2 linked regions of the Macaca fascicularis genome follow. The protein of the gene in region 1 interacts with the protein of each later gene in a pairwise test. Links are inferred from orthologs where the notes say so. Each region holds a gene or a part of one and is shown in the gene's direction. Other genes may lie near its edges. The genes, in order: BRAP and NUMA1.

The links.
Region 2: the proteins of BRAP (region 1) and NUMA1 interact in a two-hybrid assay, tested with the Homo sapiens proteins (2 studies listed by BioGRID and IntAct). The link is inferred for Macaca fascicularis from reciprocal best matches to the Homo sapiens genes BRAP and NUMA1.

Annotation. Positions count from the first base shown.
Region 1 is NC_088385.1:118,568,647-118,572,459, reverse strand, and holds part of BRAP (BRCA1-associated protein), read left to right. Parts: intron 1-650; coding exon 651-840; intron 841-3,813. UniProt on the Homo sapiens protein: Negatively regulates MAP kinase activation by limiting the formation of Raf/MEK complexes probably by inactivation of the KSR1 scaffold protein.
Region 2 is NC_088388.1:70,766,642-70,770,454, reverse strand, and holds part of NUMA1 (nuclear mitotic apparatus protein 1), read left to right. Parts: intron 1-306; coding exon 307-375; intron 376-1,758; coding exon 1,759-1,878; intron 1,879-1,960; coding exon 1,961-2,179; intron 2,180-2,300; coding exon 2,301-2,458; intron 2,459-3,748; coding exon 3,749-3,813. UniProt on the Homo sapiens protein: Microtubule (MT)-binding protein that plays a role in the formation and maintenance of the spindle poles and the alignement and the segregation of chromosomes during mitotic cell division.

The DNA of each region.
Region 1 (3,813 bases):
AAAAAAGAGAGATAGAGAACTCTCTTATATTTAGAGCTCTTTTTTTAGGCCCTTTAAGAGAGGTCCATAGCCAGAGTTGTGCTTTTAAGTTAATCAGTGACAGACATTTTTTTTTTTTTTTGAGACGGAGTCTTGCTCTATCGCCCACGCTGGAGTGCAGTGGCGCGATCTGGCTCACTGCAAGCTCCACCTCCCATGTTCATGCCATTCTTCTGCCTCAGCCTCCCAAGTAGCTGGGACTACAGGCACCCGCCACCAGGCCTGGCTAATTTTTTGTGTGTTTTTAGTAGAGATGGGGTTTCACCATGTTAGCCAAATGGTCTCGATCTCTTGACCGCATGATCTGCCTGCCTCAGCCTCCCAAAGTGCTGAGATTACAAGCATGAGCCACTGCGCCTAGCCACCAGTGACAGATTATTATTCAAACATAGATAAGAGTAAAACACTGCAAATTTGCCTAATGCAGATTTCTAACCATAATAAACATTGAAGTGAAGATTAAAAAGTCCAGTGGGGGGGTATAATGTAGAACAATTCATTAATGAAATATTAAAATTTTATTTTTTCCTGTTTTCTTGGACATAAAAGTTGTCTGCTGTTGTTTAACCATACCTCATCTATTTACGACCCTCTAATTATTGTTTTGTTAGTAAGATGACCTCCTTAAAAGAAGATGTGCGGCGCAGTGCCATGCTGTGTATTCTCACAGTCCCTGCTGCAATGACCAGTCATGACCTTATGAAGTTTGTCGCCCCATTTAATGAAGTAATTGAACAAATGAAAATCATCAGAGACTCTACTCCCAACCAATATATGGTGCTGATAAAGTTTAGTGCACAGGTAAAAGTTATTAAAGTTATTAAAAATCTCTTTGCCACAGAAACTGTGTTATTGAAACTGTATGATAGTAGCTGTTGTGATTTACGGCATTTTGCACTTAAGATTCTTGATATGTCTTCTAAGATATAATTCTAATTCTAGATGTATTTCTAAATTCATTAGCAGAAATACAATTATAACGTATACCCATGGTATTTTTATTTATTTTTTTTATTTTTTTCCAGTAGAGATGAGATCTTGCTATGTTTTCCAGGCTACTCTTGGCCTCAAGCAGTCCTCCTGCCTTGACCTCCCAACGTTCTGGGATTACAGTTGCTCTGAGCCACTGCATCTGGCCTTATGCCCATGATTTTTTATAGATCAGATTCGGTATGAAATCTAAGGTTTTGCCAGGAGACAGAGGTTGCAGAAAGCTGACATCACACCACTGTACTCCAGCCTGGGTGACAAGAGTGAGACAACGTAATAAGATTTGAATAATGAAGTTTGTCGCCCCATTTGGGAGGCCGAGGCGGGCGGATCACAAGGTCAGGAGATCGAGACCACAGTGAAACCCCGTCTCTACTAAAAAAAAAAAATACAAAAAATTAGCCGGGCGCGGTGGCGGGCGCCTGTAGTCCCAGCTACTCAGGAGGCTGAGGCAGGAGAATGGCGGGAACCCGGGAGGCGGAGCTTGCAGTGAGCCGAGATCGCGCCACTGCACTCCAGCCTGGGCGTGAGACTCCGTCTCACTCTGTCACCCAGGCTGGAGTGCAGTGGTGTGGTATTGGCTCACTGCAACCTCCGCCTCCCGGGTTCCCGCCATTCTCCTGCCTCAGCCTCCTGAGTAGCTGGGACTACAGGCATGCACCACCATGCCTGGCCAATTTTTGTATTTTTTTTTTTTTTTTTTTTTTGAGACAGAGTCTCGCTCTATCGCCCAGGCTGGAGTGCAGTGGCCGGATCTTGGCTCACTGCAAGCTCTGCCTCCTGGGTTTTCGCTGTTCTCCTGCCTCAGCCTCCCAAGTAGCTGGGACTACAGGCACCCGCCACCTCACCCGGCTAGTTTTTTTGGTATTTTTTAGTAGAGATGGGGTTTCACTGTGTTAGCCAGGATGGTCTCGATCTCCTGACCTCATGATCCGCCCGTCTCGACCTCCCAAAGTGCTGGGATTACAGGCTTGAGCCACCGCACCTGGCCAATTTTTGTATTTTTAATGCAGACGGAGTTTCACTATGTTCGCCAGGCTGGTCTCGAACTCCTGACCTCGTGATCCACCCGCCTCAGCCTCCCAAAGTGCTGGGATTACGGGCATGAGCCGTCATGCCCGGCCTGCTTGTTTTTTTAAACAAGTGGTAACTATTCCAGAAAAGCAGTAGTTCCCAAACTTTTTGAAGTTAACACCATCTTATTATTTTCCATTAACCCCACTTCTTTCATTTTCTTTTTTTTTTTTTTTTTTTTTTTTGAGACAGAGTTTAGCTCTTGTTGCCCAGGCTGGAGTGCAATGGTGCGATCTTGGCTCACAGCAACCTCTGCCTCCCAGGTTCAAGCCATTCTTCTGCCTCAGCCTCCGAAGTAGCTGGGATTACAGGCATGCACCACCACGCCCGGCTAATTTTGTATTTTTAGTAGAGACGGGGTTTCTCCATGTTGGTCAGACTGGTCTCGAACTCCAGACCTCAGGTGATCTGCCCGCCTCGGCCTCTGAAAGTGCTTGGATTATAAGCGTGAGCCACCGTGCCTGGCCTCATTGTCTTTTTAATGAAGTGGAAGAGTGTACCTGTTCTGTGAGCCCCAGAGAGAAGCTTTAGTGTGGAGTTCTGTCTACAAGAGAGTACACAGTTAATATGTTTTATCTTTACAAAGTACCCTATCATTTAGGGAGACATTTAAAACACGTTTCAATTATCCCGTAGATTTAAAGTTTACAAGTTGACATTAAGAACAGAAAAGCACTTGAATAGCTCCTTTCACTGACCGTCAGAAAGCCTTCCAAGGTTGCCAAGGAGCTTTGCAAACCATGAGAAAATCCTGCCTTGAGCCATTTCAGTCTGGTAGCACATGTAATAATAAGGATAACGATGATAATATCCAGCGTTTATCGATGGCTTCTGTATCACTCACTATGCTAAGTGTTCAATACGCTTTGTCTCATTTAATCCTCACTACAATCCCTTGCGGAAACAGTATTGTTATCCTTGTTTTACAGATGTGGGGGGTGACTGCAGAGGGAGATAAGTGGTTTGCCCAGGGTTACATAGCTAGACATAAATGGCAAGCAAGAGTGGCATCCTCACTTTTAGTTCCAGGGACGCGTTCCTCTTCTAGTAGGAAGTGGGATGAAGGTGTGGGGAAGGGAGGCAGTTGGTTGTGAGACATTCGATGACAGCAGTATTGTTATAGTTTCTACTTAACAACTAGGGCAATAAGCAAATAACAAAGGAAAAGACCCAGACAAAAATGTTCAAGAACATTTAGGCTTTTAAAATAGTCTGAAGTCTTACAAATGCACCACACTCACCTGTTTAATAAACCCACACAGTTCCCTATAACAAGTACTGCCCTTCGTAATGTGCAGGTAATACTGTGAATATTTACTGTGAATGGATTTTCCTTGTATTTCTGCACTGTCCTTCCCCGTCTGTCTTTTGATCAAGTGAAGGTTGCTCAAGTTGACAGATCTTTTTCTGTGACTGTGAAACAGGTTGCTGCACGTTCTTCCCCACGGGGCTAGAGCCCTTTATCTTGGTATCATGAGTTGTATTGTTTATTGCTAACTCTGGATCTTAGGGACTGATCCCTATCATCCCATCAAGGATTTTCTAAGACCTAATAATACCCTCTTGGTGTAAGACTGGAAGTTCAACTAATATCGACTGTAATGAGAATAGTGGGCTCAGTAGCTACCAACTATGAGGCACTTACTAGAGACCGGATCCTGTGCCAAGTGCTTTCCATGCATTGTCTCCTTGAATTCTCTCAACGATGCC
Region 2 (3,813 bases), on another chromosome or scaffold:
TGCAGAGTCAATTCCGATTCTGGAGGTGACAGGGGTTGGGCAGGCCTCTTTCTCTGCAGGCTCAGGGTAGAGGCAAGTATGGACAGGTGGCCCTGGCAACATTTATGTGTTAGATTGCCTCACTCAGGCCCTGCCAAGCAGCCTGGGCAGCAGGCTGTTCCCTAATTGGAGGCCAGAGAAAGGGCCTGAGTTTATTCTAGGAATACTGGGGATCCTGGTCTGGGCCACCCCATGATGGGTAGACATCTGGGATGAACATCCAGGGGAAGTCCTCCTGAGTCTTCTGTCCTCCTCTTCCCTCCCCAGGTGGAAGAACTGAGGAAGAAACTGGCTGACTCTGACCAAGCCAGCAAAGTGCAGCAGCAGAAGCTGAAGGTGGGGCAGCTGGGGGAACGGGTCTGGCCTCTGGACAGGGGAGGAAAGCTGTTCTCTAAGCTCTCGGGCCGTGGGGGTGTGGGGGCAGAGGAGGGGCACCCTGTGTTCCAGGCAGCCCTCCTAGGAAGCCTGTGGCTTAGAAGCCCCTGCGTGTGTCTTCTGGGAGCTCTCAAGAGACAACCAGGGTGGTTCCCATCTCTCAACTGTCTCCACTACAGCAGCTACTAGTCATGTGTGGTTATTGAAATTTATTAAAGTAAATCCAGTTCTTCAATCACACTAGCTACATTGTGTCCCTGCTCAGTAGCTACATGTGGTTAGTGGCTGCTGCATTGGACAGCACAGATACAGAACTTTCCACCGTTGCATAAAGTTCTGTTGAACCATGTAAGTCCAGATAGTCTGGGCAGGGAAAGAACGAGTGTCACCAGTGTTGAATATTACAATGCAGTTTAATAACATTCTTAATGATTCCAACTGTGTCACCTTCTTTGGTTTAATACTTGCTTTCTGCAGTTCTAGGCTGCACAGCCTTTAGTCAGGGGCAAAGGAATTGGACATCAGTGGTATTGGGACTCACTAAAGCCCTGGTGGGTCCTAGGAGTTGGTGGGAGCTCAGAGCTTCATTTCATACCATGGTGCCACAGCATGTCTTGATTGCAATAAACAAATGTTTATTCTGCTCCTTGTGGGGCCTGTCCTGTGTTAGGAGAGGCAAAGGTGGGATGTTTCTGTACAGTATCTACCGCAGAGTACTTGCTGGCCTTGCAGATGGACAGAGAATCAGGCCCTGTTCTTAAGGAGTTATAGTCTGGACAGGAGGCAGTGTGGGCATCATAAATAAGCCCCCACGGGCTTTTGGAGTTTAGTGGACCAAGTCTTACTCTGCCATTTAGTCATTGTTGCTATGGTCAATTTGCTTAAATCTTTGAACTCAGTTTCCTCCTCTGAAAAGGGGATGAAGTGACTTCTCAGAGTGGCTTTGAGGAGAAACAAGTTCCCCTGTCCTCAGAGAGCTCACATGCCAAGTGCCTCACTCCAGGCTCCGCACCTGGGTGTTCCTCGAGGATCGGTTCCCTTCCTCCTAGGGGAGATTGTGTGTGCATGCAAAGAGGGTGAGACAGTTTGTGTCCTATCTCAAAGAAGGCAAAGATAGGGCAGGAGCTGGTCAGGGAAAGGCCACTATGGATGTGGACTGAAGGGCATGTGGACTTCAGGTTCAGTAGGCTGTAGTCGGGTGGAGTGTATCTGGGGTGGTGTGGTTTTCTTCCTCTTCCTAAGTGCAGGAGTCTGAAGCACCTCTTGAGCCCCAGTGGCTGATGCAGATGAGTGGACTTGGGTAGAGGGGCCAGACCAGCTTTCCTGAGTGGACTTTCTTCTCAGGCTGTCCAGGCTCAGGGCGGTGAGAGCCAGCAGGAGGCCCAGCGCCTCCAGGCCCGGCTGAATGAACTGCAAGCCCAGTTGAGCCAGAAGGAGCAGGCAGCTGAGCACTATAAGCTGCAGGTAAGGAGCCCAGCCCCAGCCCATGCTACCTTCTTCCTGCCCTCCAGCCTCTGCCCCACCCACCCATCCTCTCTGCCCACAGATGGAGAAAGCCAAAACTCATTATGATGCCAAGAAGCAGCAGAACCAAGAGCTGCAGGAGCAGCTGCAGAGCCTGGAGCACCTGCAGAAGGAAAACAAAGAGCTGCGAGCTGAAGCCGAACGGCTGGGCCATGAGCTACAGCAGGCTGGGCTGAAGACCAAGGAGGCTGAACAGACATGCCGCCACCTTACTGCCCAGGTGCGCAGCCTGGAGGCACAGGTAAGAATTTGGCTGGCAGACTCACCTCACCCCTATCCCACTGGACCCCTGTGCCCTCTCCTCCTAGGCCACTGATGCCTTAGGTTTTTCTTCACTCTCCCCCTGGCCCTCTCCTTCTCAGGTTGCCCACGCAGACCAGCAGCTTCGAGACCTGGGCAAATTCCAGGTGGCAACTGATGCTTTAAAGAGCCGTGAGCCCCAGGCTAAGCCCCAGCTGGACTTGAGTATTGACAGCCTGGATCTGAGCTGCGAGGAGGGGACCCCACTCAGTATCACTAGGTCAGGAGGCACTCTTCCTCCCTATGTCTGTTGTTTATGGAGTACCCGCTGTTTATCAGGCTGTATCCTGGTGAGATAAATAAGATGTGATCCAAATTTATTCTTAGAGAAGAATAAAGAAAAACAGGTATTATACCAGATGTCTGTTTAGGGCACAGTTGGAATAAAAAGCAAGCGGTCAAGAAAGGCTTCATGGAAGCTATCGCTCCTGCTGAGTCTTGAAAGCATCCATAGGTGTGTGTGCCAGGTTGACAGAGAAGAGCAGTGTGAACAGAGGCTGTGAAAGAGCCTGACTAGGCTGAGATGCAAGGCCAGGAAGGCCCAAGATCCTAGAGGGCCATCTGGACTCCCCGTTGGAGACCGGCTATTAAGACTTGATCCTAAAGGCATTGAGGAAACCTTGGTGGCTATAATTGAAAGGTTTAAGGGAAAAAAAAAAAAGGAACCTTGGAAGAATTTGAAACTGAAGAGTACATGGTTAATTTCCATCTTAAAAAGATGATTCTAATAGCCAATATAGAAGTTAAGACTGGAAATACATATTGTTTTTATTAAACACTTACATTGTACTTATTTTGTGCTAGACATAAAGCACTCATAACAATTATACCTGATTTATCCCCCAACAACCCTCTGAGGTAGGTTTATTCTGTCTCCTTTAACAGATGAATCTGGGGCATAGAGGGGTAGTCATTTGCCCAAGGTCCCCCAGTGGTAGAGCTGGGGTTTGACCCTGTGCAGCCTGGCCTGAGTCCTTGCTTGTCACCACTCATCTGCCTCTGTGAGTGCCATGATGAGTCTAGGTGAGAGGAGATGAGACAAACCAGGAAAAGGACATAAGCATGGAGAGGGTATGGTTAGGAGAGCTGTTGAGGAAGCTTGGTGATTGGGCTTCCCAAGCAGGACAACATAGAATTATGCCCATGTTCATGGTTTGGGGGCCTGAGTGGCAGGTGCTCGTATTCACTGAAATGGGAGATGAAGGAGGAAGAACAGAGAAGTGGGCTTAGATTGGGACGTGTTTGCTGTGGAGCAGCCGTGGGCATCTGGTGAGGATGGGACATCTGGGTCTGGGCATTGCCACTATGAGGAGGTATTAGGAGAAGCCAGGGGAGTGGACTGAAGGGAAGGCCCAGGTCAAGGGCTTTCCTTGGTACCTCTGAAAATTCAGAGACATGGGTTGCTTGACCTCATCTGCTTATAGTATGGAAAATGGTCACTTTGGAAAAGGGCTGGACAAAATGCCTTCTAGCCCAAAAGACTGTACCTCAGCAGGTTTCCTTTCCATAGCAAGCTGCCTCGTACCCAGCCAGACGGCACCAGCGTCCCTGGAGAACCAGCCTCACCTATCTCCC